4 linked regions of the Arabidopsis thaliana genome follow. The protein of the gene in region 2 interacts with the protein of the main gene of each other region in a pairwise test. Each region holds a gene or a part of one and is shown on either strand. Other genes may lie near its edges. The genes, in order: BZIP60, TINY2, NAC097 and BIM2.

The links.
Region 1: the proteins of TINY2 (region 2) and BZIP60 interact in a two-hybrid assay, tested with the Arabidopsis thaliana proteins (one large-scale study listed by BioGRID).
Region 3: the proteins of TINY2 (region 2) and NAC097 interact in a two-hybrid assay, tested with the Arabidopsis thaliana proteins (one large-scale study listed by BioGRID).
Region 4: the proteins of TINY2 (region 2) and BIM2 interact in a two-hybrid assay, tested with the Arabidopsis thaliana proteins (one large-scale study listed by BioGRID).

The regions. Positions count from the first base shown.
Region 1 is NC_003070.9:16,133,226-16,141,029, forward strand, and holds BZIP60 (basic region/leucine zipper motif 60), read right to left. Parts: upstream 4,239-7,804; 5' UTR 4,235-4,238; coding exon 3,798-4,234; intron 3,288-3,797; coding exon 2,837-3,287; 3' UTR 2,498-2,836; downstream 1-2,497. Other genes in the region: AT1G42980 (Actin-binding FH2 (formin homology 2) family protein), read left to right, coding at 119-121, 211-267, 402-500, 586-630, 711-842, 1,136-1,199, 1,303-1,379, 1,490-1,537 and 4 more; AT1G43000 (PLATZ transcription factor family protein), read left to right, coding at 7,490-7,492, 7,573-7,776. UniProt on the Arabidopsis thaliana protein: Transcription factor involved in the unfolded protein response (UPR). Acts during endoplasmic reticulum stress (ER) by activating unfolded protein response (UPR) target genes via direct binding to the UPR element (UPRE).
Region 2 is NC_003076.8:3,724,589-3,731,992, forward strand, and holds TINY2 (Integrase-type DNA-binding superfamily protein), read right to left. Parts: upstream 4,139-7,404; 5' UTR 3,912-4,138; coding exon 3,201-3,911; 3' UTR 2,865-3,200; downstream 1-2,864.
Region 3 is NC_003076.8:20,675,324-20,682,494, reverse strand, and holds NAC097 (NAC domain containing protein 97), read right to left. Parts: upstream 3,274-7,171; 5' UTR 3,271-3,273; coding exon 3,084-3,270; intron 3,058-3,083; exon of another isoform or gene 3,022-3,057; coding exon of another isoform or gene 2,982-3,021; coding exon 2,710-2,981; intron 2,612-2,709; coding exon 2,489-2,611; 3' UTR 2,221-2,488; downstream 1-2,220. Other genes in the region: TIM8 (translocase inner membrane subunit 8), read left to right, coding at 5,990-6,037, 6,435-6,620.
Region 4 is NC_003070.9:25,939,863-25,948,767, reverse strand, and holds BIM2 (BES1-interacting Myc-like protein 2), read right to left. Parts: upstream 7,140-8,905; 5' UTR 6,965-7,139; coding exon 6,859-6,964; intron 6,689-6,858; coding exon 6,604-6,688; intron 6,343-6,603; coding exon 6,273-6,342; intron 6,190-6,272; coding exon 6,094-6,189; intron 5,958-6,093; coding exon 5,596-5,957; intron 5,469-5,595; coding exon 5,339-5,468; intron 5,256-5,338; coding exon 5,169-5,255; 3' UTR 4,820-5,168; coding exon of another isoform or gene 4,621-4,819; 3' UTR 4,525-4,620; downstream 1-4,524. Other genes in the region: AT1G69030 (BSD domain-containing protein), read left to right, coding at 46-152, 284-381, 867-1,051, 1,138-1,202, 1,298-1,339; AT1G69020 (Prolyl oligopeptidase family protein), read left to right, coding at 1,571-1,926, 2,017-2,165, 2,255-2,477, 2,569-2,713, 2,807-3,148, 3,237-3,356, 3,485-3,909, 4,026-4,242 and 2 more; MGP3 (male gametophyte defective 3), read left to right, coding at 8,013-8,774. UniProt on the Arabidopsis thaliana protein: Positive brassinosteroid-signaling protein.

The sequences.
Region 1 (7,804 bases), on a different chromosome or scaffold from region 2:
GAAACCAAATCTATATAAGATGCACTAACCTGATGATGAATTGATAATCTATACTCCATTCTTTGGTTGTGAGTAAAAAAAAAAAAGTTAGACTTTGCAAATTCTATATCTTATCACAATGGCAAGTCTATGACTAATTTCTTTATACAATTCTTACCTCTTAGCTCATACTTTCAAATCTAATTGTTTTTTGTTTCTGTTTCGTGTCAGGCAAGTAACTGTGAGAAAATGCTTAGCAAAATTAAGATTCCTCTACCAGATATGCTCGTAAGTTTTTGCCCATCATTTTTAAGTGAAAACAATACCTAAAGTTTCTGCAACATTTGGTATTGTTAGTATTTAAATAATATTTGTGTAACAATAACATTTTGCATCACTTTTTATCCTTTTTGTAATCTTAGAATGCAGTTCTAGATTTGGATTCTTCAGCTGTGATCATTGACCAGATTAAAAATCTAATCAAAATCTGTTGGAGCAAGGAAGAAATGGATCGGTTAAGGGTAATCTTTACAACAATATTTTCGTAATTACGAATATCTCAACTGGTCGTCTGAACTCTAAAGCTAACTCATGTTGTGTTTACAGAATTCTGCTGGTGGTGACAAGGAAGTGCTTGGAAAGTGTGAAGAGGTTTTGCTTCACTTCTTAAAGCCATAAATGTTATTTATTCATCATATGTGCTTTGATCCCTAACTATGCAAATGTTACAGATTTTCGGGGAACTAATGATGGTTCCGCGGATAGAACCAAAATTACGAGTGTTTGCTTTTAAGGTTGAGTATCCTTCCAGGGTGAGTGACTTAAAAATGTGGATGCATACGATAATCGCTGCTACTAAAGAGGTATGCATAGAGACAGACCCGGTTCAGTTAATTATTGGGCTCAGTTTTCAATAGTTTAAAAAAAAAAATGATGTATATAAACAGAATTCAAATTTTTTGAGCCTTTTCTAATTTGTTTTTAATACAAACGGGTCTAAATTCTGAAGAAAAATGTCAAAATTATATTAGACCCTCTTTAACTGGAGCAGTTGAACAGCCCAATAACTGGACCTGAGGGTGACATTTTTCTGTGCATGGTAATATATATAGCTATGTCCATCTTGGTAATTAAGTAATCGTATTTCATGTACTAGATAACGGGATCTGTGAAGTTGTTTCGGATTATGCAAACAAGTTTAACAATGCAAGTTCTAAGAGGTATCATGTATTGTTGTATTGATTTCCAATTTTTCATAACTTTTAATATTTTGTAGCATCTATTTGTTGATGTAGTAAGTGGGCCTTGTGTTGTGTGTTGCAGGTTCTAATGTGGAGTGTGGACTGGATAGTCTTGTTAAGTTATGTGATAATGTGTATTTGATGCATGACTTTTGCAAGGTAACAAATACTCTTGTGTAACATATGGTTAATGCGGTAATTTGCGTAAGTTGCTTAACGTCTTAACTATCTTCTTACGGGTTTAGCTTGTTGGTGAAAAAATGCCGAAGCTGCTGGATTTTGGTAATGACCTTGTTCACTTAGAAGCTGCATCGAGGGTATGCTTTTTGTTGTGATATAACTCATGGTTGCTTCTTTTGCTCTAGTTCCCAACTCTCCTTTACTTGTGCTGAAAATTACAGATTGAATTGGAAACCATTACTAATAAGATGCAAGAGTTATTCGACATCGAGGAAGAGGTGAATGATGAGTTCCTAGCTTCAGAAAATGATGGTGCTAATTTTGTGGGCTACCGAAACGTAAGCCACATGAATAAAGAGTTAAGAAAAGGTCTTTGTAGCATCTTCTAATCCGATCTTCATGTTTTTAGGTGGTGCATGATTTTCTTTGTACGATTGACGGCGACAAGCAGTTGCTAAATATCTTATACGCAGAAGTGGTAACCTATATAACTCTCGGTTAGACCTTGAAGGACATGTATATCATGCTCAAAACCTATATTTACTTTGTAACTCACAGGGAGGACTTGTAAATTCCTACATAGCTGAGTATCCAAGTGGTGTTCGCTTCAAGGAAGGTACCATCACATCTACTGTCTATTGTACTCATGTCTACATTTCGCGGTTCTCATTTCTACTCTGGCTATTCTCCCTATCTGCAGCGACCAACATCCTGACCCGTTTCGTGGAAACGTTCTACAAGTCTCGCGAGGAGATTGAAAGACAAGCCGAGGCTGAGAAGGAGATACTGGAGAAAAGAAAAATGAACATCAAACAAAATGGGAACCTCTAAAGAACCGTAGCTAGTTTCATCGACAACTTCTATGCTGCTTAGATGGAACTGCAAACTATCTATCATCTCTTCTCTAGTGCTTATGTACTAGAAAATATTTGAACTTTTTTACAATTCGAAGTTTTACCTTATCTTCATTGTTCTAATAAAACTATCTGTTCGTTTTTTTTTACCTGCCTACGCATCCGTACCAAACATTTTACAAACAAAAATCTCTGTGACAATCCCAAAGATTGGCTCGTCTGAACCCTAAATAATATCTGATGACAAAAAAAAAAAAAAAAAAAACTGTGATAATGTCAAATGAAGCAAACATGTAAAAACTAGCATGAGGAAAAGCTTTATCAATGTTAATCAACCTAATGAATTGTTATCTAGTAATTAGAAGTGATATTACCTGAAGTTATGCCTCAAAATCAACATTTTAAAGGCAGAAGCATTATTAGATAGATATCATCCATAACCATAAGACCCACATTCACTGTTAACTTATCGATATTAGACAGAAAACTTTCAACAGCGAAATACAAAACAAGAGAGAGAAAACTAAAAGACACTCATCTACAACTCAAAATGCGCAAAAGAAGCAGTTAAAAAAGGCGTTGTCACGCCGCAAGGGTTAAGATTTGGTATTTCATCCTAGGCCTCGAACCCTTACATCTCCGACTAACGCCGGTATAAGACGGTTTGCTACTACTCCCGAGCCCGTTTAGAACCAGCTTTTCTGGTTCTGGACGTAGGAGGCAACACTTTGTGTGGGACATATAAGGGAATAGGCAAATGAAGTTTACTCCCAGAAGCCAAAGCAGGGAACCCAACAGCAGGGATTCCAACAAGAGCACAGCAGACTCCTGCTTCGACATCATGGTAGTATTATTGCCATTACCCTTTTGCAAACAGTAACGTAGAGACTGGTTTTCAGCAACGAAGCACTCAAGCATACGTCCTAGTCTCAAGCATTCTCTTTCGAGATACTTACTCTTCTTCTCTAAATCTTGTACATATTCCTTCTTCCTCTCTCTCGATCTAACCGCCGCATCTCTATTTCTTACTCTCCTGAACCACAATCACATCCCAATTATCAAACCTCAGTTTCTTTTCATAGCATAAAAGGCTTTAACAATCTTAAGTTAACCAAAATACACATACCTATGTTTGAACATAATCAGCTCATGAATATTAACACAAGATTAACAATAATTAAAGGCAACCAAAATTTAAACAGTCATTTACTTAAATGATTAGTTCTCAATGTTGTTATCAAAACAATAACACACTTATAGCAATCTAAATGAAACAAAAATCAACATCACTCATAATCAATCAACTCTTCAACGTCACACATACATAAACATAATAACATGAACATATCACAAGATACGCAAGCAAAATTTAAACACTCGTTTCTCAAATCTTCACTGTTACACATACGTATCTCCTAGTTCTCAATGTTGTTCTCAAAGCATAACACACTTTTAACAATCTTAATGAAACCAAAATCAACACAAACATACAAAATCCATCCATAAACCCTAACTTTTCAAACAAGAGTAAAATTAGATATACCTTCTTCGTTTTTTAGCCACAGCATCATCGTCTCCTTCTTCGTCATCATCATCATGAATCTCGCTACCAGAATCATTAGACTTCTTCTCAACAACCAAATCCGAATTCTCCTTCCCGGAATCATCAGCGGCGGCGGGAGAATCGACGGTTAGAACTTTATCAGCCGCCAAATCAACGGAGCCAGAATCGCTAGTTGGATAATCAACGAGTAGATCCGCTATGAAATCTGAAACCGATTGCTGATCCAATTCCACAAAACTCTCCTCTTGATGATTCTCATCGTTCATCAATTGATTCTCGATTTCTCCGATCCATGAATCCGGTGAAGACTGAAGAAAATCCTCCGCCGGAAGAGAATCAATTACGATTGAAGGATCGAAATCGAAGAAGAAATCTTCATCTCCGAGTAAATCTATGCTTCCAAATTCCTCCGCCATGGTCAAAAAAAAAAAAATATACAAAGAAGAAAAAAAAAAGCGAATTTAATTTAAGAAATTGGAAGAGAGATGAGTTATATAGGAACTGTGTTTGAGACTTTTCTAAATTTCTTTGCGACCAAGTAAATGTGTAGAAAAAGAGTCAGCATGACACGTGTTGATTATGGACGCGTTTTTTGAATTTTTAGCCAATGATGTGATGGAGTGTACTGTGTTATAGTGTTTCTGTTAGCAGAGGATTATTGTTTTTATGTGCCGTCACACAACCAATGAGAAGGCTTCAAGCTGGAAGAATAGGATCACAGCCGAACACGTGTACTCAGTGAAGTGTTCGTGTGATTAATAACTCGGTTCTAATTCACTTCTTTTCTCTTGGTTTGATTTTCTTATTTTCGGTACAGTTATGTAAACCAGTTAGCTATAGTCAAAACGATGTACATGTAGTTGAGATGGACAATGAGACCAAGGAGAGCAAGGCTTCTTTGACCATTTCTCAGAAATCAATCAAAATTCTTCAGTCCCTTTTTCTCTTTGTCACCGTCAACATCTTCCACGATTGAATCTTTGTTCTCCGAGAGGACTTTTCTTCCTTCGTGACCATCTTCTAGACTTTGAAAGTTATCAATTTGTTAATTAAAATCATATATTATATTGTCAATTTATGTTACATTCTGGATTATCTTCCTTATTCAATTTTAAATGAGTGATTAATCTTCATTCAATCTCACATGAATGAATTTGTAAAATTTTCAGTTCTCTAGCAGATGAGTGAACTAATTATATATGTGAAAGTTGATCTACTATTTTCATATGAATGTCACGTTATTATTTAATTATTTTCTATGTGTTCATTCAATAATTAATGTAAGATTTACATTTATTATTAATTATTTATCTTTAATTGTATCAATTCTAAATTTATTTTTGTTATTATATGTATTTTAAAGAATAAATATATTTTACTATTTTCTTCATACTCATTTAAGGTTTATTTGCTAATGTTTTGTAGTCATAACTTAAAATAGGAATAGATATTACTATAGTGAATTAGCTAATGGTTTGGTAGCTTATTATCATTAATCTCTATCTAAATAATATAATACAGAGGATGAGGAGTATACAGAGATCCATCCTCAAATTCCTGATGTTTATATATTTCCAACATTAACATCTATTAAATTGTTTTACGATGAAAATTATTTCAAGATTGTGTGAATAATTACACTTTTTCAAAAAGTACTTAAAAAGTAGTTTAACATTAAAAGCAGTTGATGATTATATATTTTTCAATAAAATGTTAAATTATATTTTAAAAAAAGTAGATAAAGTGCAATTTCAATTAGAAACGAATAGAAGACAAGTTTTAAACACCAATAGAAATATTAAAAAGCTAGATGATGTTAGTTTTAACTTCTGGACAAAAACCAAATTTGGAGGTCGTATCTCTTGTCCCCAAGAAGTCTGATTGATGAGATTTGATTTTGGACTTGCTTATCAACCGAACTTGTCAATAATAGCATTAGTAATTATAATTTTAGTAACACATTATTTACATTAATTATAATTTTAGGACAATTGTATTAACCTGACTTGTGATCTAATGACGTGGTTCATAAAGTCACTTATCGAAAGTTAATAGTGTATATTTTCTATGATATAGTTCTTTTATAATGCTAATTAAATACCTATGAAGAAATATAAGGATTGCAAATTTTGTAATTAAACTAATAGAGAGGACTCTAACAAAGCTATTTAACTACGTAAAGCATATATTTCCTTTTGTATATTACTTTTTTGTTTGTATGTAAGCGGGAATACTTACCACATGTACTACAATTCCTTGTTCACCAAACTTCAAATAACTTCCCCAACGTCCTAAGTAACATCTTTAAAATTTGAAGAACATGATAGCGAGGGAAACTAAATTCAACGTGAATTTATTTTACTTGGTTTTACTCTACTTTTGTTACTACCAAGGTGAATTTGATTTAAACCTAGTTCAAAGTCACTTTTTTCTAGCCTAGCTCAAATTATATAAATTGTGCAATGTTGTAATTGTCCTAGTCTAATTATCATCACGTTTTTTAAATTTTAGTATTGATTTCACATGTCTTAATTTTAAATTTTATTTGATGATATATTATTTGACATAGTATAAATTTCTTTTTAACACGCGTTAAAAGCAATAATTTTCTTAAAAATATTTAACCAAATTTAGCTTGTATTATACAAAAATAAAATGAGTAATATCACTACCTAACTATACTTTAGGTTTTTATTATCAAAATTTATATATGACATTTTATTATCAAAATCTATATATGACATTTTGTACATATAGTGGTTCATTTCTCACACAAGTTCTTTTAAATTTATTTTAAATTTAGTATAGATTTCACGTAACGGTTTTAAGAAGATATTCCTATTTTGTTTGACTATATTATTTGATATAATATCACTTTCTTTTTGACACGCGTCAAAAATAATAATTTCCATTAAAATCATTTGACCACTTTTAACTCTTGTTGGATTATCTACCAAATATAATTGATGTTATATAGCTATTTTATATCAAAGTCATTTTTTGGAAAAACAGGGGCTTTTAGTTAAATAAAAAAACTAGAGGACCTATAAGTAAAAATATTATAATATATAATAACATAAAAAGATAAGTAATTAACATGAGTACTATGAAAAAAAATCACACAAGCAATAAGAATTAGTAAATCATTTGTCAATCATGGTATTAATAACACATTATTTACATAAATTTTATTTTTCTTATATCTAACACGCGTCAGAAAAGATAACTGTTGTCAATATATTTATTTTACTAATTTTAACAAATAATTTATTATCTACCAAATAAAATGACAACAAAATAAAAATCTAGATCTAAATACAGCAAACCAAATAAAACCAAAGCAAAATTGATGAGAAAAAATGCTCTTTTTCACAAAACTAGGGGGTTTTGAGATTATAAAATAAATAAAGAGTCTAAATGTAAAGTTATTATAACAATATGGAAGAAAATATAAATAAAAATAAGTAACAAAAAGTAAAAAAGGCCGACCTTTTCAGTGTCTTATAAATTTCTCCATCGTCTTCTTCTTCTTCTTCTTCTTCGTCTTCTCTCTGTAAACCCCCACACAAACCTGTGGCCGCTATATTCTCCATTTTCTCAGTAACCATCTCTGTTTTTTTCTCTGTTTCTCAGATTAAGTTTCGTGTGTCAAACAGATCAAAACCCAAACAATGGTTATTCCTCTGTTTTTTTCAGAATTTTTCAATCGATGTTATTTTATAGAAATTGATTCATGGGTCTGTGTTATTTTCAGGTGAGTTCCATTGTAAAAATGGAGAACGACGACGTAATGACTCCGCCATGGCTAACACCAATGCTTCGAGCTGATTACTTCGTGACTTGTTCGATTCATTCACAATCGAGTAAAAGTGAATGTAATCTGTTTTGTTTGGATTGTTCAGGCAATGCCTTTTGTTCTTCTTGTCTCGCTCATCACAGAACCCATCGTGTTATCCAGGTTTGGTTTTCAATTTTTCATTACCCAT
Region 2 (7,404 bases):
TCTAATGATTTATATATGTAAATTCAACTCTAATTAATGGTCACCGTCAATTAAATTAGTCCACTAAACGTGATTAACCTGCCGACTTACTTGATCCGTAGATATTTAGACCAAAGCATATTAGTGGAGAATTTCAAGTGGTTCAGATACCCTTTAATTTTTCAGCATTTGTAAAGTCATTTTTGACGATTTTGGTCGAAATCTAAAAATAAAGTACTAAAGGAGTCAATAATTCCTTTTCCGTTTTTGGAGTTTAGCATAGTCCCATCATTAGACACAGATAAATTTGATTTAAGAATTTCAATACCTCACAAAAGATATGCAAGAAAGTTATGTCGGATCCACTCTAGATTTGCGTGGTATACTGTCGTTAATAAAACCTAATGAATTAATTTAATTATTCGTTAATAGTTAGTGGGGAATATATAGGTAGGGGCTACGTTTCGTGGATATAAAATCCAATGAAACCGTCAAGTTATTATGAACCAAAATCAACTCAATCTGACATTGATCGAATCATATTAAACTAGGTGAAGGGATGGTCTACACTAACTTAGTACTAATTTTCTTTAGCAGTCTAGTTTTAAGTTAGGTTAAGGGATGGTCCTGAACTAATCTGATATTTAGTGAGGTGTTTAAATAGAAAACATATATCGGTTTGCTTGTACGAGTCAGGTTACCTCTTTTGAATATATTCCCTGATTACGAAGAATTATCTCACTCGGGGTCGGAACTCTGATTGCTGAGTCAAATTTTTATATAGTTGTATATTTTGTTCATGCTTTTACTATTGATCATAGATTTGCTAAAAGAACGTGGAATTAAGCGCTGCTAAAATCCATTAATCCGTTAATAATATCCACCAGAAAAAAAAAAAAAGATACTATATAAAAGGCAATGTAAACATGAAACAGCTAGAGAGAAAAAAAAACACGTAACAACTAATTAACTGTTATACAATGTCATTTTTTCACTCTATACATTGACTAAAAAAATGGAATATTATATATAAAAATCATGATATATAATTAACAGATAAGAATATGAATCATTGTTCCATGTCCCACCCTCTCGTAAGAAAGTCTTAAGGTGTAAATCCAAAATCTTTAATATGTTTTAAACGGTGTCAGTGACATCATTACTGTATTTGTTTGGTAAATGGTAACAACAGTCTCTATCTTTATCTTTAACCAGAAAAAGACACTAGTCTTTATCCTGGACGAAGCTTGTCGTTGTATATCTTATTATAAACAAGATATCATGTTGTAATCTACAAAAACTTTTGGAGTTTGCAAACTATTAGACACATTTTACATTTTATTAAAGAGATCAGCATAATTGATATGTAACCTCAAGTAGCATAACAATGACTAAGACAGTTTAATTTCATGGATATTCCACTTTAGACCAAGTAGTTTATGGATCATCACATCTCTTTTTCATGATTATAATTATCCTAAAAACGAGATGTTGGAAGTTAAAAAGATATGCCTGTGACAGGACTAAATATGTCATATTATGATCATTCGTCATTCTTGTCATATAGATTCAAATAAATATTAAGCTAGCCTACATTTATTTTAGGGGTAATTACTTTTTCGTGTCAACTAGTTCCTTTTAGTTTTTTAAGCTACATTTACATTTCGTCTTTCGAAAATAACATTCTCATTTTGCTTTAACAGAATTACCCTTGAATTAATTTGTCTTTTTAAACATTGGACGTTAAAAAATAAAAATGTCGATGGATGCTGTTCACATTTGTAGAGTAATAATTAACGGACATTCTCAGTTCGAAAACTTTTAACAAACTTTCAACACTTTTCAAAATTTCTTGTTTATTATTGTAGTATATATTTCCAATAATATCACTATAAACTTTAGTTCTTTAGAAACTTTTTCAGTAAGTTTTATTTCTTTCACACGTTTTTAGAAACTTTAAACTTTCATAAGTTTCTCATGTAAAACATTGCAAGTCGTTTTCATCATTCAGTGATAGTTTTCAATTTTTTTTGTGTGAATAAAAAAATAAATCTAAATCTTAGATGACAAAATCTAAACTCTAGCTCCAAATGATCATCTTATATCTTGAGAACAAAAAAAATCATAAACCCTAATACCAAAATCTTAAATCCTATTTAGCTTCTTAATTTAAGCACAAGCAAATAGTGACGCCACAACGGTGGTGGTACGACAAAAGTTCGGCTATAAAGAAAATTGGATGTGGAGACATAAAATGAAGAGAGGAGGAACTCCCTTTAGGGATCCAAGTTATATGTGGAAATTAAATAGATGCTCATTCATTTTAATATTAATCTATTTCTTGATATATACATTCTTTTTTATTTGATGATCATTATGAAATTTTGATAAATTAGTCTTTAATCTTAACATATCGTAGAATAAGAACACAAACAAAAAAAAGTCATCTGTGGAGCTGGCTAATCAGATCTGAATTTATCATAAGCCTTTCTCTTTTTAATTCTAAAATAGAACGAGTTGTATGATATTTGTGTGGCCTATATTGTCTAACAAATTTTTTAAAGTGGGAAATTATGGTCATTAACATACTAATAGATGATAATAAAGTATTGCATGGATGTACATATGTGGCTGTGTATTGTTTGCGTCAGCTTGGACAAGTTGCTCTTGCTTTGTGTTTTCCCTCATTTTTTACCCTAACTCACATTCTCCGTTCCATTTATGTCGACAAAACAAAAATGAATGGGATAGTGAGACTCTAATTTACAATTAATGGTTAAAGATATTTCCTATAATTTTAAAAAAAAAACTTTTTTTGTCAAAGAAAACAAAAACAAAAACATTGAACAGTTTTTTAAATTTTGATGATTTGCATTATTACAATATCATAAAGTTAGTGGACTTTTATTTATCGCTTATTCATTTGATGATACTTACAAAAAAATCACTTTATTTTCCCTTCTTTTCCGACAAAAAAACCCGATATTTATATATTACAAAAAAAAAACACAAATAGAGTTTTGTACACGTATCATTATGGAGCTCACACCCGCTCCAAAAAAAAAAAAAAAAAAAACCTTTCTTAGCTAACACCAAAAAACTCAAAAAAAAAACAAAAACAGCAAAGGGTTTTAAAAACGTGATTAAACAAAACATTATGGCAATGATACAAAATAAACTGTTTTAAACAAAACATTATGGTAATGATACAAAATAAACTGTTAGAGATCCCATGACAAGCCATGGCCAAAATTAGGGCTAATTCCGTGACCATAGTTATCTTCGGACGACTGTCCCCACGGCGGCGGATATAAACAGTAGTCAACTGAGTCATAGAAGACAAACTCGTTCCCAAGGTTAGCCGAGTCGACGTCGTAACTCGCCCCGAGACTTGGAAGCTCCACAATCTCACCGAGCTCCTCCGACTCAGTCCTCGAGAGGTCCATCACCAACACAAGAGACTCGAGCGAAGACGTAGAAGACAAAGACGACGACGAAGACGTGGAAGATGAAAACGACGTCGTCGGTTCCATGTGAGCTGCTTTAAGAGCTGCTGTCTGAATGTCTCGAGGGCTTAATGAAACGGGTCGAGGGAATGAGTCAGCGAGTTCAGGGAAGTTTAGTATAGCGGCCGTTCCTTTAATGCTCAGAGCCGCCACGTCGTGTGCACGCGCCGCCATCTCCGGCGTCGGGAAAGTTCCCAGCCAAATACGTGATTTCTTCCTCGGCTCACGAATCTCCGACACCCATTTTCCCCAGTTCCTCATCCTTACTCCGCGATAAACAGGGTGTTTACCGGAGTCTCTCCCACGTTTAGTCTTCTTCTCGCTTTGCTCAGCTTTGCTTTTGTCACTCACTGAGTCAGACTCCGAGTTAGGGACAAGAAGCTGAGTTACTCTCTCCGAGCGGAGGCTGTAGTATTCCTCTGCCATTGTGTTAGCTTAGGCACAAGTATCGTACAAGTCTATTATTCTGATTGCTTTTTTCGATTCGGATCCCGAGATTAATGCAAATAAAAAGAAATAGCTAGGCTTCAGGGGGAAAAATATATAAGTTTGAGAACTATTCAAAATGAGGAAAAAAAACAGGGCAGTGAAGTGTGATGAAGAAATGAGAGAGAAACTTTGATATGAGAAGAGAAAAATGTTGGTAAAATTTTGGCTATCATTTCTCAGTCACTCAAAATATTTATATATGCATTAATATATTTGGGTACGGGTTAGAAGAGAGGGAATGGGACCAAAAACAATGCAATAAGTCTAATTGAATAAAGGAAATGGACCCAGTGGCTCCATTTATTTTTGTTTTTCTCACAGACCCACTCTATTTCTATATTGTGAATATATTGTTATTAGTATAAAACGACACACTTGGGGTCACTGTTTGCTTTAATATTTTTCCCGGTTCTTAAAATCTCATTATGCAACTAAATTAGGAAAACAAAATACTTTTCAGTATATTAAAAGATTATGAGACGACCATATTTAGAAGGGCAGTGTTGAAAAGAGATTTTGTCTCGGCCGGGTACGTAAATTATATGAAAGTTGTCTCCGAGATGAACATGATGAGACAAGCCTTTTTTGTTTTGTGTGGTAAGATAATTTTCACCTCAGTTTTACTGTTTAATTATCCTTTACCTTGATCTTCGACTCATTGGATCATACATTCCTATTTACATATTGGTATATATATATGCTCATCATGTGAAGGCAATATGTATCCACATATATGATATGCCATAATTGCAATTTAGTTTTGATCAGAATTAATATACATATTATTTACACGGATATAGAGTTATTGTCTTTCAAATTTTGATTTTCTATAAACATATTATATGAATGTCAACAGTTTTTGAAGATTTATTCAGGAAATTTTTTTAGTAAGTATCATATGTTTACTTTAGTTATATATATCGAGGGCTAATTAAAGGAACTTGTCTTAACCAATAAACCATATGCTTCGAGGCTAAATTTTAAATTTTGGAGAAATTTGTAACTGAGTGTTTTTTTTCGAGACACCAAATGGTGTGTGATTAATTGCACAATTTGTACTGATTTCATTTGAGAGGATATTTTATACTTAGACTTGAAAAGGTGTACTAAAGGGGGTTTAACCGTAAGTAAATTGATAATTAATACCTCTGTCCTGGTCTTAGAAAATATATGGGCGTAAGACCCATAAAAGAAAGAAATCTACCAGCCAATTGATATTAATTAGGTTAAAGTTGCTTCCAAACTAAAAAAAAAAGCCCCCAAAATTAGAGGTACAATATTGCAAATAAAGAAAAGAAGTTTGTAGAGGAAACTTCAAGAAATTTTAAGGGACAATAACTTGTTCAATCATGGGGTCGTATTTGCGTACCTATAAGGAAGGACGAGTGTCTGTCAAATATACACATACACTAAAGTCTTTTAATAATCATGCCAAAAAAATGTCTCTTAATGACGAAAAAATAATGTCTCTTAATAATCATTTTGGATTTTTCACAAGTAATAGCAATGTCTAAGTACTTGCAATGAAGAGAATTGTTTGTATTTTCGCCTCTCGTTTCAGCAATACGTATATGCATTTTATATTGATCATATACGTAATACTAATTAACAATAATATTGATCATCTTAAGTTTACTAAAAAAAAAAAAAAACTGGTCAACAAAGGTTTTAGAGTTTACAAGTTTCTAATTCAAAAATTATTGACATGAATATATTGACTCTTGCTTTATATTTATCCTAGTTAAACAGATTTTATGTGAGATTCTTACAAGTCTATTTAAGACGAGAACGAAAATAGTTTAATTGTTTTGAAAATATTGTTAGAACACGAGAACAGTTTATGAAATCAATCGGATTACAAAACCATTAAATAATTTTGAAACCTCTATTTAAAAGTCAAAACTAACTAGTAATGAATGAAAAAATAGAAAAAAAGAAAAATTATTCACTATATTTCAAAATATAAGATGTTTTAATTAAAAAAGAACTTTTTTTTATTTTTAAAACCTTTATTTTATATTTGATTTAATAAAATTCAACTAATAATATAAAATACTGCATAATATAAATGGTCACAAATAACAAATATATTTAAATTATCTATAAACTTGGAAAACATCTTGTAATATGAAACCAAATAAAATGTCTAAAACATCTTAGATTTTATCAGCTATAAAGGATTTAATTTTTTTTTGGGTAAGGATCTTTAAAGGATTTTAATTATGCTATTTGCCTTCGTATCCGTTATTCCATTTTACAAGATTGTTCAAGCTTCTTTTTACTCATTTCAGACACTGACCATTAATGAAGACCTTCGCAATAAACGAAGCAGACCCACTTGTAAATAGAGGGGAAAAAACATCTTTATGTAATTTACTTTATTTTATTTTTGGTCAATTTTATTTGTGTTTATTTAGGCAGACAAAACCAAATATCTATATCTTCCGACTATGGTTTTATTAGGCAAAATAAAATAAAATAAAATACAGAGACTATAAAGGCGATTTTTTTTCAAAGGGTCCAAAATAAGCCTTTTGGAAATAGAACTTTTCATCTTCTTCTTCTTTCTTTTTTATACAGGAAAGAGACATGTTCTTGGTTTGTGTTCTCGTCATTTGGTAAGATTTTAGAGATATATAGTACGGTCAAAGAACGTTAAATAAAAAGAAAAGGGGTCAAAGAACGTTAACAAACAAACATTATAGGGTCTGAGTTCAATTATTATACAATCTCTGGTATTTTCTTACGATTTTGTGAACTCTTTTTTTTTTTTTTTTTTTTAACGATTTTGTCATAATTTGTATTGGATAGATCTGTGATGGAATTTTATTTAGTTTTACAGAAAATCAAGCCAAGTCTGTTAAACAAATTTTTTCTCAATTTTTGAATATTAAATTTTTCAACTGCAACATTTTTTTACAAAATGTACACTGATATTTTCCCATTTATTTTACCACCTCACATCATTTTTTTTTTTTTTTTTTACGTTTCTGATAAGGCATAATAATATTTTGTAAGTTTCTTACAGTTTATTTCACCCGTTTCTATCACGTAAGTTGTCCTATCGTTAGACCATCCCAACTACAAAAACTAAAGTGATAGTAGATGGAATACTAATTAGACTTGAGGTGGCTTAATTAATTTTACGGAGGTATACATTGTGTTGTTTTCAGACGAAAACACATTTATATTGAAGTTAGAGAATATACATATATATGCTCTCCAGATTCTTCTCTGACGAATAAGCATAGAATTAAATTGAAGTTAATATCATATGGTGTGTAGTTTTATTCCCTATTCAACATATATATGTATCACTATCTTGTGTATGTTCCATTGAGAGACAAAAATTGACAGACAGAGAAAAATAAGACACGTCGAGATGTAGGACATTTACTCTTAACATGTTTTTGCTTTAGAGAGTATAGTA
Region 3 (7,171 bases), about 17 Mb from region 2:
TCCAAAATGTCTCTATAAAGACATTTGAGACATTGTGTCTTAAATATAAAGATACCCAAACATTAAAATATTATACTTTCTTTTACATATCCTACTATATTATTTGGAAAGTACATTTTAAATATAACATTAATTTTTTAAGTAATTACATAGGTATATCATTAGAAATAAAATTTTAAAGAGTAAATTAATTTATCTCTTTAAGGATTAAAAAGTCAAATACTAATTTAATTAATTAAATTTAATTAAAAAACGAAATACATTATTAATTTTCAAAAATAATAACCAATCAAGATCAACATATAAGATTTGATATTTAAATTTTAATTAATTTAATTAAATTTAAAAAAATACATTATTAATTTCCAAAAAAGTAACCTATTAAAATCAACAAATTAGATTTTATATCTAAATTATCATATTAATTTTTTATTAATTATTATAGTTCACTTCTCATCTTTATATGATTCTATTTTTGCGAAAAAATAATATCATCATTATAAAAAAAAAATTAGAGTTTTTTCGCATATGCCATAATTTAAATTTTTAAAAACAAATATAAACTGTTCAATACATGAAAAAATATTATAAAGGGTGAAAAATAGATTTAAGAAAACTTTCTACTGAGTAACGGGTCATAATTTGAAATATTTATATTCAATTTCATACATATTATATTGAAAATTTATAATCTTATATACTATAATAATTAATAACATATTAGATTTTTTTATGTGTATGATGTGATTCAATTTTTAATACAAGCTGGAAAATCCTAGAATTGACGGGTTTAGATCGATATTAATACAAGATGGTATACTACATGTGAAACTCTTAAATTAACAATTAAACTACAAGTGTCTAATTATAAACACTAAACAATATACATAATATCAACAAAACATATACAACTCACAGTTTACTATACATTTAAAATCAAATAAAATAATATCATATATTTTTAAATCATCTTTACAATAAAAGTTTTTAGTTTAACTAAAATATAAGCCTACCTGCGGTATACTGCAGGTTAATATCTAGATTATAAGGTTTATTGGATCTAAAGACGGGTCATCAAAGATTTCCTAAACTGAAGCAAAATATACTGAATACTCAAATATCTATCTGTTACCAAATTATAAACAAATAAGTTCGTAAAACAATTTAATATTTTATATATATAATCAATTAAATCTTAATCACATAAAAATTAGCACAAAAAAAAGTATTCAACAATTAAAAAATTATCAAATCTCTGTGTTATATAAGTTTTGATACTATATTCGAATAAAGTGTAATATACCTTTTCAATTTGTATTCTTTAACTAATTTAAGCTAACTAATATATTTGCTAATCTTTTACCTATCAAAACCGACTATCGTTTCTTATCTCTATAGTATTTTTGCAAGACTTTTTTGGTGGATTTGGGTAAAAGTGCATTCGGGTCATATGGTACATTCCCCTATTAAATAAATATGGTGTACTCCTATTTATTAGCTAAAATGTTTAGATTATAATTCAGAGTCATATCATTAATAAAATTAATATTAATAAAATAAATGGCTTTTTGGCAAGACAGATTTGGAGTGACGGGTTTTTGAATCAACATTAATAAAAAAGTAAAATATAATTAATCCACCGTTTCAATACTGGTTAAATATTTAATTTATTATTTTTTAAGACCACTAATATTAAACATATCAAATCATCCTAATTTAGAAAAGATTATATAAAACCGAAAATATTATGTAGTATGTATAATGTTACTATATATAAAATTAAACTATAAAATATAAATGTATTAGAGAATGATATAATTTGCAAAACTTTTATATATAAAAATAATTCTTAAATTTTAAAAATTACTTTTTTAAAAAAAAATCACGGGACGGGTAAAGAAATTATACAACAGGTTTTATTTTGGAATTGGATTATATGGTGGATGTATTTGAATCAATATTTATAAAATTTTAAAATATTATTAATATGCTGTTTTAATAGGGGTTACAACTTCAGTTTTTTAAAAATTGTCTCATGGATTCGTGGTATAGCGTTACTTAATAATAATTATAAACTGTAAAATATAAATATTTTATAAAAATAAAATTTGCAAATTTTAATATATATTACTTTTAAAAAATAAATCGTCCCGCGGTATATCGCGGATTAAAATCTAGTTGTATTTATATTGTGGGAAGACCTCCTCATGTGATGTTGGATGGATTGGTCTAACGGACCACTAATAATATATATATATATATAATTGGACAAGAACAAAATAAAACGGGAGAGTGAAAGCAACTTGTGGCATCTTTCACCACATCCTCAATTACATTCCATTCCATTCCAAAGGGCTTGGAAGACAATAAGACAAATCATGCATATATATTTCATTTAGATGTTCCCTAATATCCTAACAATAGTAACTAAATTCAAACGATTCACCACAAAACCAAGTACATATATTTATGGCATCAACCTCGGTCGTCACCGGCTTTGAATAACTTCCTCGCCATCAGACTCGTCAGACTCGTGCTCATCCTCCACCATCTCTTCATCATTCTCTTCCTTCACTACGACTTTCACCGCCCTCCATTTTCCTACCTCACCCTTTAAAACCCAAAACATTGATATAGTTAGCTCTAAACTATTACTTACAACAAAAATATATGTTATAGAAAAAGATAAAAGTCCAATGAGTGACTCACCCGAGGTAGAGGGGACGATGACCACCTTGTAGCTCTAGAGGAAAGAAGTCGGAACTCGTACATGATCCATGGAGTTATTGTCCCTCGAGGTTTTTTTCCAATAAAGAAAGCAAATGTCTTTCTCCTTCCTTCTAAATGAATACAATCACGACCACCAGCCTCCATTACTTCCTCTTCTTCACACTCTTCCCAATAACCGGATAACGTCTCTCTTCCCTTCCTCTCTCGCTCTTCCTTCTTCACGAAGTAATACACTTCCTTGTTCTTCTCTCCTACAACAAAAGTGTACGTACAACATTCACTAAACCACATTTTTCAATACATTTGACGTGATATGGTATAGTAATTATTAGAGAGAAGAGTTTGTAGCAAACCTAGCAAGTCCCATGGATCAACATTGCAAGAACGGAGCTCAGGGAGATCGAAGTCCATTGGACGGTGGAGGACCTTCTTGGCGAGATACTCGAACACAAGATCTTCATCATCGGGATCGAACCGAAACCCGGGAGGGAGTCTCATGCTTCTTCCGTTCATGGCAAATCTCTGCGCAGAAATGTCCATTGCTTTCTTATGAGTATCCTTTGTGTTTGGTTTAGGTTGTTTATATATACTTATGAGTGTGTCACCTTTAGTTTGGCAAAAGCGGATTCTGCTTTTCCTTTAGATACTTTTTACGTACTACTATTAATTTCAAGAGATAAATAGATAAAAAAAAATTGATAACTGCAAATTCAGAGATCGTAGATTGGTTTCATTTTTGTTTATTTAAATGCGAGGATCATCATAACAAATTGTGGTGCATGTACCCATGCAGTCAACGTTGTTAAGGTTTTGAATATAGCGAGTATTCAAAAATATCTTTATTTTTTTGGTAAAGATAATCTAGTTCCTTTTTCGTTTTCCTGGGCAAAGGTAATTATTTATTTTTTCAACCAAAACGAAATAAACAAGATTTAAGTTCCAAAAGCCTAGATCCACGCTGATTCATTACCATATAAGTACATTCAACATCAATAACTAAAACGAGCACATTTCTAACAATTGGCCCAGAACTAATTTTAACATGCATTTGAAATTTTATTTTTCATAAGCCGATCGGTTAGCCCAGGTAAAAATACACGTAAGTGTTTAGAGTGGATTTAAACCCGAAAAATTACCACAGTGTTTATTCCAAATCTGAAATGTTTTCACACCGAAAAAGAAAACAAACCTTTATGTTAGGGACCTTACACATGTTTAGGGACTAGTGTATATATCATCCATGTAAAAATATCCATGCGACCCTTTTTTTTTCTTATAGTAATGTCGGAATGATATACGAATTATAGATATGAATGTACATAAATAAGCGAAAGTTTTGGACGTACGTTCAACCTATAATTTTGTAGTAAAATCATTTCTTGGTATAAATTTATACGTGGAAAAGGAAAACTTATATCATCGAGGAATCAAAATTTTCTTTGTCTTTATCATTTGGCAAGTGAAATAATAATGTCGGGATACAATACATTTTTAAAACAATAAATTTAAGTAAATATGCATAAGCAATGATTAAGAAATAAGAAAAATATAAGAAAGTATATTCAGAAAACAAAAGTGAATTTGAAAGAGAGTCCAAGTCGATCCCAACTTAAAGATTTGAGAAGCTGACTTAACGAGTAAGTTATTAGATGTTGGTCTGACTCAATTTTCTACTCTCATGCACTTCTTTAATTTCAATTATTTTAGATAAATTATTGTATATATGTGTGTCTTTGGACTGGTGACTTGCCTTTTATCCTTCCTTTTTTTCCTTGGATCAATAAAGCTCCCAAAGCCCCCACCAAACCAAAGTTGTTCCAATTTTTTGCTTCAACTTTCCAGCATCAGCCTTTGATTTTTACAAATAGCATTTTAGGTTTAGTCCTCTTTGTATAATGTTATGTTTTATACACTAGAAATAAAGGTTACATAATTTGTCTTTCGAAAGACTAAGAAAAGAAAATGAAATGGATTAAAGATGATTGTTTCATTGTTAAGGAATCGAGATTAGTTTAATTGGTTGGAACTTGGAAGAGAGTATTCATCAGCTTTCTTTTGCTGAATCTTAATTCGAATGCAACATGACTAGCTTATATTTGATAAATATTTTAAATTGTTAACATCTAGCTTTAATTCTAGTCCAAAATTTCTCTATATAATTTTCATGTGTTGAAAGTAGGCAAAGCTCTATTTGTTTTATATTCATAAAGGATATAGAAAAAGCTTTAAATTTGTCAATTTAGAATCATATGTCTTACTCCTCCCACGCAGCATTTTGGATTTGGTACTTTTCTTCACCTCGAAGATGTTGGCTTTCCATTTCCTTTATTTGTTTGTTTTCAATCTTCTTTTTACTTTAGATTTTGATGATTTAGCGACATTTCTTAAGCAACGACATACATAAATGAAAAGTTTCATTTCTTTATAACTTAGTGTTGTCAATTGATGGTTGATATTGATATGGTACAAGCACCATCTTCATGTTCAATTATTCTTTTTAACCATACATACACTTGAACGTAATTTTTTGATTGGTTCTCCAATGCAAAAAGAAAATAGTTTTAAAATAATGTCTTTGAATCTAGTTCTAATTGAATGGGTTTACCAAAGCATACTAAGTTAGTCAAGTAAGTTACTTTTCTTTCCTTTTTTTTTTTTTTTTTGAATACCAGGAGGTTTTGGGACGAAGCCCGTAATTCCCTTAGGTCCGAAATTTGTTCCAAGCGTCACTCGAACCGACGACCTCTAAACTTTAAAGTTAATCACAATGGAGATTGTAACATTTTGATTATCTTGGAGCAAATGAATTCTTAGAAGAATATTTGATATACACCACCAAAAAAATACATGAACTAGTCAACAAATAGCTGGGTGAACCGCCAGTTCCCGGTTCCATCAGAGTTTTAAAAAGTCCGGTTTTATGACTAGTTTAGACCCAAATGTGCCTGCTGGTTCCCTATTAAACCGGTCGGGTCCGGGTTTAAAATCACTGAGTCTACCCACCCTATATATCCGTACACTCGGCCCAGATCATGATCCATATTTAAATCAAACTTTTACATATTTGATCTCAATATGATTATTTAACTGTTGGGCTTTTAATGGGGGTTTTGGCCCAATAAGTAAGTAAGCGGCGTCTCTTGAACTTTATTGTAGCCTTTTGGGGTTTTTGAGAAAAGTTTTTAGGGTTTTCAGTCGCTGAGAACAATTTTCTTCTCCTTCTTCTTCTTCAAGCAGAGACGCTCTCAGCTCACCAGACATGGATCCTAGCATGGCAAACAACCCGGAATTGCTTCAATTCCTCGCCGTAAGTCTCCGATTTGTTTTTGATGAATGCTAATTAGTTCTTTCAATTTTAAAGCTTTTTAAGTCGATTCACATGGAAACTTGAGCATTTGGACAGCGAAATTATAAGTAGAAGCAGTGTTTTAAGTCCTGTCTGGATTCACAGAAACCATTTATTTGAATCTTCGTTGACGGGTCAAATTAACATTTCGATGCTTTAAACTTGAAAGATCTGATTTTTTTTTTCATGTGTGATTTAGTTGGTATGATTAGAATCAAGTTGAATTGAGATTTAGTGTACTAATATGTGTTTACAAGAATTGGGTTTATTAGGGTTTATGCAAAGTAATGATTTTTTTTTGTCTTGGGTTTATGTTTGGTGAATTGTAAGAGAATGTGGGTGTGTGTTTGTGTGGCAGCAAGAGAAAGAAAGAGCAATGGTGAACGAAATGGTGTCGAAGATGACAAGTGTGTGCTGGGACAAATGCATCACAAGCGCACCGGGAAGTAAGTTCAGCTCAAGCGAGAGTTCTTGCCTCACTCATTGTGCTCAACGCTACATGGATATGAGTATGATCATCATGAAACGCTTTAATTCGCAGTAAAATTGATTGGAGGATATCATACTTGTTGGAATTTTAATTTATCCTTTTTTTGTTTCTCTTGGCAAGTGTTGAAATCCCTTTTATTACTCTAGTGATCTTGCAAGAGTATTCTCGGATAAGTGTTTTAGGTGTTTCTTTATGGTTATGTGATTGAGATTGTTATTGATGGCTAGTAATATATTAAGAGACAAGTGTTGAATAATGTGGTTTTAATAAGGAGGGTTGTACAAGGGTTGGGTTGAAACAATGAAACTTGCTAAGTCACATAGAGATTGTGGTGAAATGGCACTTTACTTTGAAAAGTCACAAACCAAAAAACCTCGAGACACTGAGAGATCGTGAGAAAAAAAGAGTAAAGGCCTTCTTAAGGCTAGGAATTGTTTGGATTTATCACTGTTTTACTTTTAGCAATTAATTCAATCCAGTAAATTTCAATACATTCCAATTTGCCTCTACTTCTCGCTATAATGAATTGATTAGAGTACTGCCCAAAATGATTAATTTGGATGGAAGATGGGCCAGATCTAATTGTGGCAAGATGGGCTGAATCT
Region 4 (8,905 bases), on a different chromosome or scaffold from region 2:
TTTGGAATTGAGGATTTGAAATGTGTTATGGTAAATGTGGATTAGATGAATCGTCGGAAGTTTCTGATTTGGAAACAAGTGCGTCGAATGTTCGGAAGGATCTTTCTGAGTGGCAGGAGAGACATGCCACTCTTGTTCTTGGTTCTGTCAAGGTAGATTTTTCGAATTTGAGATTGGAATTAGTTTGATTAGTTGGAGAAGCTGATCTTGCATAATTGGTTTAGTTATAGATTCATCTCTTCTGTGCTACATTGTTTGATTTTGCATTTTGTGTATGTTGCAGCAAATTTCGAAGTTGAGATATGAACTATGCCCACGAGTTATGAAAGAAAGGAGGTTCTGGAGGATATACTTTACCTTAGTGAGCACTCATGTTGCACCGTAAGGATCTACCATCTCTTCTCAAAGTCTGAAAATGTTATCGACACTAGACTGAGAATTGCATTAAGCGCATAGGAGGTGGTAAAGATAGCTTAAGATCTCTATATTTGTATGACTAGGTAGTCTCATAGCTTAATCACTGCAGCTTAAGTTTGGTAAAATGAAACCATACGTAATTATATGGGAAATGGATTATACCTTATCAGCACGGATTTGATCCAGAGACAGTCTTAGTGAATTCTCTTGTGGCTGCAAATCATCTATTCTGCCTCTAGCTTGGTCCAGTATATCTCGGAAAACCATGTAACTCACAAATGAGAATATAAAAAACAAAGGAACATGACTGAAAACATATAGAAGATCTTGACACCTTAGTTGTTTGTGTATTTCTGAGAAGTGATTAGTGAATTGAGCACCCTTGTCTTTCATTCTTATGAGACTTGATAGCTGCATGAATTAAGCGGAAAGGATTTGTTTTGAATCAGATATGAAAGGAAGTACATGGAGGAACTTAGGAACAAAGCAGAGAGTAAAGATGAAGAAGCTAAGAAGAGTCCAGGGCTTGGAAGGACAGAATCAGCTGAAAAGAACAGAATATCTACTGCATCGTCTGAGCAAGATCTCGATACATTCCTGCTGGGAGATCTAGAAGACAGTGACGAAGCTCCTGGTGAGACACCTTGACTTGATGTAGCTTCCCAAGTTTTAGCTATGACTTAAATCCTGATTTTGTCTGTATAATCGTAAAACTTGCAGATGATGGTGATGGTGATGATGGAGGAAGCCTGGGTGATGATGACTTTGACAAGATTGGCAACTCTGTAAGTGAAAACGTTTGATTATTCTCTCAGTTCTTTAAAACATACAACAACAGAACATCTTGGTTTAATCCAAATCTGCCTTCACGTGTTTGCAGGATGTTGAGGAAGAGAAAGAATCAAATGCAGCAAAAAATTAGAAATATTATTAAGTTTTGTTACATACCCAATTGTTGGGAAGTAAATGAGGATGGTATATGATCTGTTTCATCATCAGTGATTCAGTGTATAGCTTTTGATGCAAAAGATGAAGACACATTTTATTCATTCGAATTCGCAAATTATAAAAAAACAGACTTTGATTACAAAATTATCCTAAAAAGCGAAACTTTGACATAAATATTAGTCGCTGGAGAGGTTAAAGTTTGCTAATGGCAGTAACATATCTTCTCCGGCGTTACAAGCCGGCGACAATATCATCAGTTTTGTCTTTCTCGACGAAATGTTTTGTTGGACGAACATCATCACTCTCTGTTCCAACGGAAGCTCCTCCGGTTCCAAAGAAGATCCCATTCGCAATCTCATCTCATGGGATCACAAGACAAGATCCTTTCCATTGGATGAAGAATACGGACGACACCGATTTCGTCGACTTCCTCAAGCGTGAGAACTCATACTCTCAAGCTTTCATGGCTGACACAGAAACCCTGAGGCGTGATTTATTCTCCGAGATGAAAACTCGTATTCCAGAAGAGATTTTCACTCCTCCTGAGCGTTGGGGACAATGGTTCATCTCTCTAATCTTGTAACTTTCTCTGATACGAGTATAAAGGAGTGAGCTTTTTGATTGATTTGGTTTAAGTTGTCTATTGAGCAGGTTATATAGACAATACATACCCAAAGGAAAAGAGTATCCTCTTCTATGTAGGAGATTGGAGAAGGGTAAAACAAATTGGCTCTCTGGTCTTTTTCGTGGAGAAGAAGAAGAAGTTGTGCTTGACTGGAATCAAATTGCAGAGCAGTTTGGTAAAAGTTCATTCCTTTAGTATAATGTTTCATTGTTAGTTTTAGAGTCATCGTCAGTCTCTAAGCAAGTGTTATGTGTACTACTTCAGGTTATGTTCATGTTGGAGTTTGTCGGGTTTCACCTGATCATAACTATCTGGCGTACACGGTTGATCCCGAAGGAGGTGAGCGTTTCATTCTCCAGATTAAGGATTTAAGAACTGATCGGTTAGTTCCGAGGTTGGAAGTTGATGGAGTTGTTAGCTTGGCATGGGCTTTAGATGGAATCACCTTGTTTTACACTGTTACAGATGAAAACCAAAGACCTCACAGGCAAATACAGTGACTCATACTAGTAGATAGATAGCTTTTTAATTTTATTAAACTTGGAGAGTGTTTGTTCAACTGCGACTAGTTTTTGCAGGGTTGTTGTCACAAATGTTGAATCAGATGGGAGAGATGATGCCGTAGTGTTTACCGAAAGAGATTCCAGTTTCTGTGTAGACATAACGACCACAAAAGATGGCAAGTTTGTTACTATCAATTCAAACTCAAGGACTTCATCCGAGGAATTTACCTCTTTCAACTGCATTTTTGTTTTTGTTTTCTTAGTGTCTATCATCGATATACTTTAGGCTCAAGCTGAGTTATCTTGTTTTCAGGTTTATATTGTAAATGCTGATAAGCCAATGGCTGGTTTGCAAAGAACTCGCGAACGAGTTCCTGGCGTGCAGTGTTTTCTTGAACATCACAATGGGTTCTTTTACATTCTTACAAATTCTCCCTCAAATGCAATTAGTGAGTGGTCTGGTGAAGGCTACTATTTGACTAGATGCTTAGTAGAGGAAATTGAAGCATCTGACTGGCAGACTGTTTTCCGTCCAGATGATGATGTGGTTATACAAGATATGGACATGTTCAATGACTACTTAGTGCTTTATCTTAATAAGAAAGGCTTACCTATGCTCTGTTCCATTGATATGCCCATAAAAGCAAATACGAAGGTATTTCTGATTAGTATTGCAGTTGTATGTTTTTTCTCTGTCGCTTTGCGTTCATACATTTTCACTAAAGTATGTTTCATTTGTGCAGCATATGGATGATCTTGTTCCCTGGTATTTTCCACTTCCAGTTGATTCATGCAGTGTTGCCCCTGGTTCAAACCACGACTTCCAGAGCTCTATATACCGAGTGGTGCTTTCGTCTCCTGTGGTAAATAAAGAAACGGGTTTCTCTATTTGTTTTAGCTTTGAACCATAACATAGTTTATTTGCATTTGAATTTTTCTTTCTACTCTGATACTTTCTCTGAATATCTTACTGTTATTGTTGGAATTGCAGATTCCTGACACTATCGTTGACTATGACGTGTCAAGAAGATTGTTCTCAATTGTGCAGCAGGAGGGAGGGGTTGTAGATAATTCTGATAGTAGTAAGCCATGGTACACAGCAGATCGCTCTACAGAGAATAACGGTCAACTTAATGATAGAACCAGCGAGGGAGAAGATGGTCAGTTAGATTCTCGAATGCCTAAATGGGAGGACTTATCTGATACATATGTTTGTGAAAGACAAGAAGTTTCTTCACATGACGGAGTTGAAGTCCCTCTTACAATTCTGTATTCACGAGAAGCATGGAAGAAGAGTGAGTCACCGGGAATGTTGATAGGTTATGGCGCTTATGGAGAAGTTTTGGACAAAAGCTGGTGCACAAATCGATTGAGTATGCTTGATCGTGGTTGGGTGATTGCTTTTGCTGATGTGAGGTCAGTCACTAAACATAACCAAAGCATTCAATTATCATTTGCTTCAAGTTGACATCACTTGGTATAATAGTGGTTGATTTGAATGTGCTTCTATAAGAGTTTTATTTTGGCCTCAGGGGAGGAGGCAGTGGGGAGTTTTCATGGCACAAATCCGGAACTAGATCGTTGAAACAAAATTCAATCCAAGATTTCATATACAGTGCTAAATATCTAGTCGAAAAAGGCTATGTGCATAGACATCATCTTGCTGCTGTTGGGTACAGTGCAGGAGCTATTCTTCCAGCTGCAGCTATGAATATGCACCCGAGTCTATTTCAAGCTGTGATTTTGAAGGTAAGAATATTATGGCATAGCAAATGCATTAAGTTGTGTCCAGAATAATCAAAAGCTCAAATCATTAAGGTGTGTACCATTTGGGCAGGTTCCTTTTGTAGATGTATTAAACACATTATCGGATCCAAATTTACCTCTCACACTCCTGGACCATGAAGAATTCGGGAACCCAGACAACCAAACTGACTTCGGATCGATCCTTAGCTATTCTCCATATGATAAGATACGAAAAGATGTTTGCTATCCGTCCATGCTTGTCACTACTTCGTTTCATGACTCAAGGCAAGCTAGCTTCACAAAAGAACCCTTAAACCCATATCTCTTTTTTGTTTTAAGTAAGAATCTTTGGATCATAGTTTGCGTGTGTTATTGGGTCAGGGTTGGAGTATGGGAAGGTGCAAAATGGGTGGCTAAGATAAGGGATAGTACGTGCCACGACTGCTCCCGAGCTGTGATTCTGAAAACAAATATGAACGGAGGGCATTTTGGTGAAGGTGGTCGCTATGCTCAATGCGAAGAGACTGCCTTTGATTATGCTTTTCTTCTCAAAGTTATGGGTCATCACAACAATAGATAAAAGCATCACATCATCTTTGGTTTAGCATCAAATGATTTTATAATAGTCTTTCACTTTAAGGTTAAGAGATTGCTAGCCTTTGATCTCGCTCTCTCAACAAAAAAGGAAGATCAAATCGGAAAAAAATGATGCAATAACTTGAAACCACAAGAGATCATATTTGATAGGTTACATGAATGATGCAGAAGATGATACAAACTCAGAACCACAAAAAAACGCAGAATCTACTAACCAAAGTTTATCTTAACGAGTACTATAGGAACCCCTAGAAGCCGAACAATGTACACGATACAAGGAATCTGTCAATACATTTATATATTCCAGCGCCGTGGAGCCTGAGAGAGAAATGTCACAGTGTTTTCATCCGCTTGTGAGAATGTTCAGATTCTTCCTCAACGCTTGAATCCCTTCCTTGCGTATCATATGATAATGGATTCTGTATAGAAAAATGTATCAACATCATGATATATGGCTATTGTTACAAAACTAAGTATGAAGCATTTCGAACCAACTATTTACCTTACTTGATGGCTCTTCATGAGTTAGACCTTGATTGGCTCGCTTCCCAAGATCGATCTGCACAGAAAGCTTTGCTTGCGACAGATCAATGCCTGCATTCTGGAGTGCTTGTGTTAATGAGCTCAATAACCTGGCCATTTCAGAATTAATGTCTCACAAGATTAGTACACAATGCAGTTAAAAAAAAAGGGTAGAAGCGAACACATCAATGGCAGCACAGTAACAGAAACGAGGAAGACTTAGAAGATCAGACTCACTCATGCGAGTAGGCACTAGAGATGCTAATGGTTCCACCTTCAATAACCAGGTCATTACTTTGGCCTAGCCCATCACTAGTTGCAGGACATTCATTAGCTTGTTCGCCTTGTACCATTGGAAGAATTGGTTGTAGTGGTGGTAATCCTTTGTCGTCTAACTCAGGTTGACTTTCAATCGATATGCCGGTTATAGCTCTTGCTTTGTCAGATTCAATCGGGATTTGCGGTTCTGCAATAATTGCAGGTGTCGAAGTCACAGTGTTGTCTTCAAACTTTCCAGGAAAAGGTATCCCTGGACCAGATCCATTATTTATAGCTACTGGGTGGTTCCCCAAACTTTGAACTCGCCAATGATTATTCCTCTGTTCCAATCAAGAAAACATAACCTTCAGCTAAAAGTCACACAAAGAAAGCCTTGCGGGTGCAAAAACATACTCAGAATCTACAATCACAGAAACTCATTGAGAAACCGACATAAGAAGAAGCTCAAAACTTTACCCATGGCGTCAACTTTGTTGGTTCCTGACTCCAACCTGGATACGATCCTTCATACTTTTGCACCTTCTCTTGTAAATACTGAACATAATCTATCACCTAGAATGGAATAGCGGTATTAAGCTAACAACATCTAAAAGACAGGATATTCGCACAAAGCATCATCAAATACCATGACATACCTCTAAAAGGAATGAAGCAGTGTCACGTTTTTGTTCACTGTTGGGAATTAGTTCTCTCAATATCTGAAATCTGAGAAGAGATTTATGAATTCAGCACTCAGAACAAGAACAATAATTATAATGTAACTAAGTCCTATATCAAACACCACAAAACTGAAGCAGAGCAAAATTCCCAAACACAAGTCCTAAGTATTCTTATGATTTTGTTAGCAAAGTAATTGAATTTTGATTCAGATATCAAAACAAAGAATGTCGCGTTTACTCCTAATCTCAAGTTCTCACAAAAACAACAATCCAAAAAGTTTGAAATCCTCACTTTATATCAACATACCTTTCATTGATTTTGCTTCTTCTACGTTGCTCAGTGACCGAATGTTTAGAACGTATCGCACTAGCTTTATCATTTTCCTTTGAATCTGCTTTCAAAATCAAACACCGAATCACACAGAGACAAAACTTAGAAAAATCTAATCCCAAACTATTCAAATCCATCTCGATACATATCAACAATAGCTCCAACCAAAACACAAATTGACGAAACAACAACTAAGAAAAATTCAAAAGTCTCCCAAATCGAACAATTTACCTCTGTTGCTATGAACAGTAGTGTTGGAAGAAGGACCTTCACGTTTAGAGTTAAAGTCTTCTTCTCCGTAATCTTCTTCCTCTTGATTTCCTTTTCCGGTTCTCATCTTCGCCGGAGAATTTCGACTGTTTATTGTTTTATTTTCAACTTTTGCCGTCGACGAGCTCTTTTTTGTTGCTTATTTGTTTTTTGTTTTTTGGGTGCCTCGTGACTCGGCTGAGTTCTAGTTAGCTGTGGGAGAGACTACGTGAGTTTACTTGAGCTTTTGTCCGTCAGTTTCGTGATTTGGAGACGTGTACGACTTGATGTGATTACCCGGTTAGGCCTCTAAATGAACCGTAGCTTGTGATGACACGTGGGATTCACGTGATAAGACGAGATTCTAACCTATCAGATTTAAGGTGGTCACGTGATGCACGTGGTCTCTTTCTGATCTGTTAATTTTCACGTACTATGTTTGTTTCTAATCGAACGGTGACATATGGCTATGTTTCCAAAACAATACTATAAAGGGCCGAATGGAATTATCAGACTTGGGCCAAACCCAAACTTTACAAAGGAAAAAAAGAAGTAACATATGCCTATGTTTCCAAAACAATACTATACCTTATTCGAATTTATCAGACATGGGCTAAGCCCAAAAGTTACAAAAAAAAAAAAAAGAGTAACAATACTATCAGAGCCAGGTTTCGATCCTGGGACCTGTGGGTTATGGGCCCACCACGCTTCCGCTGCGCCACTCTGATTTGTTGTTGTAATGTTAATTAGGTATATATTTATCATGGTAATGTATAACTCGTGCCAGAATATGGGCTTTGAGCCCAAATAAGAGCGTAACGGATCTGATAAGCGGGTCGGGTTTGACAAGATCCATGAAATGTGAAGCAGAAACCAAAGGTTTTATGAAGGGTTTATTTCGGCGGCTGTGTTTGTACTTCACGGCGCCTTCTCTTTTCTCCAGATCTCTCTTCTCTTCACCCAAGTCTTGTTTTTAATCTGTTCTTCGAATCTGAACTCTTTGATTTCTATGTTTGTATTAATAACTCTACAAAATCAAGTAGCTACATAGCCCGAGATTGTGCTCGTGGAGGCAGTAAACTATCTGAAGCAGCCACTATTACCATTTCGTGGCGATCACAAAAACGATTCAAAAAATGTGGAGGAACATTCTGGGAAGAGCTTCATTGAGAAAGGTTAAGTTTTTATCTGATTCTAGCTCCTCCGGTACTCATTATCCAGTGAATAGAGTCCGTGGGATTCTGTCTTCTGTTAATCTCAGTGGCGTTAGAAATGGTTTATCTATAAATCCAGTCAACGAAATGGGTGGATTAAGCTCGTTTCGTCATGGTCAATGTTATGTGTTTGAAGGGTATGCTACAGCTGCGCAAGCTATTGATTCGACTGATCCTGAAGATGAGTCTTCTGGGTCTGATGAAGTTAATGAATTGATAACGGAAATGGAGAAAGAAACTGAGAGAATCCGTAAAAAAGCTAGGCTTGCAGCTATACCGCCAAAGAGAGTCATTGCGGGAATGGGAGCACAGAAGTTCTATATGCTGAAGCAGAGACAGGTGAAAATGGAGACTGAAGAATGGGAAAGAGCAGCGAGAGAGTGTAGAGAGATTCTAGCTGATATGTGTGAGCAGAAGCTTGCACCGAATTTACCTTATATGAAGTCTTTGTTTCTAGGCTGGTTTGAGCCTGTGCGTAATGCTATTCAAGATGATCTTGATACTTTTAAAATCAAGAAAGGGAAGATTCCGTATGCGCCTTTTATGGAGCAGTTACCGGCTGATAAGATGGCTGTTATCACTATGCATAAGATGATGGGATTGTTGATGACTAATGCGGAAGGCGTTGGCATTGTTAAGCTAGTGAATGCTGCTACTCAGATCGGGGAAGCTGTTGAGCAGGAGGTGGGTTTTAATTTCTCTTGTTGCTTTTGATGCTATTTCATGATGTGTGAATCTAGGAATGTGTCATTGATACATATTGCCTTGTCCCCATGGGGTATGAAGTGTATATTGGTTTGATGGTTTGTGTATTT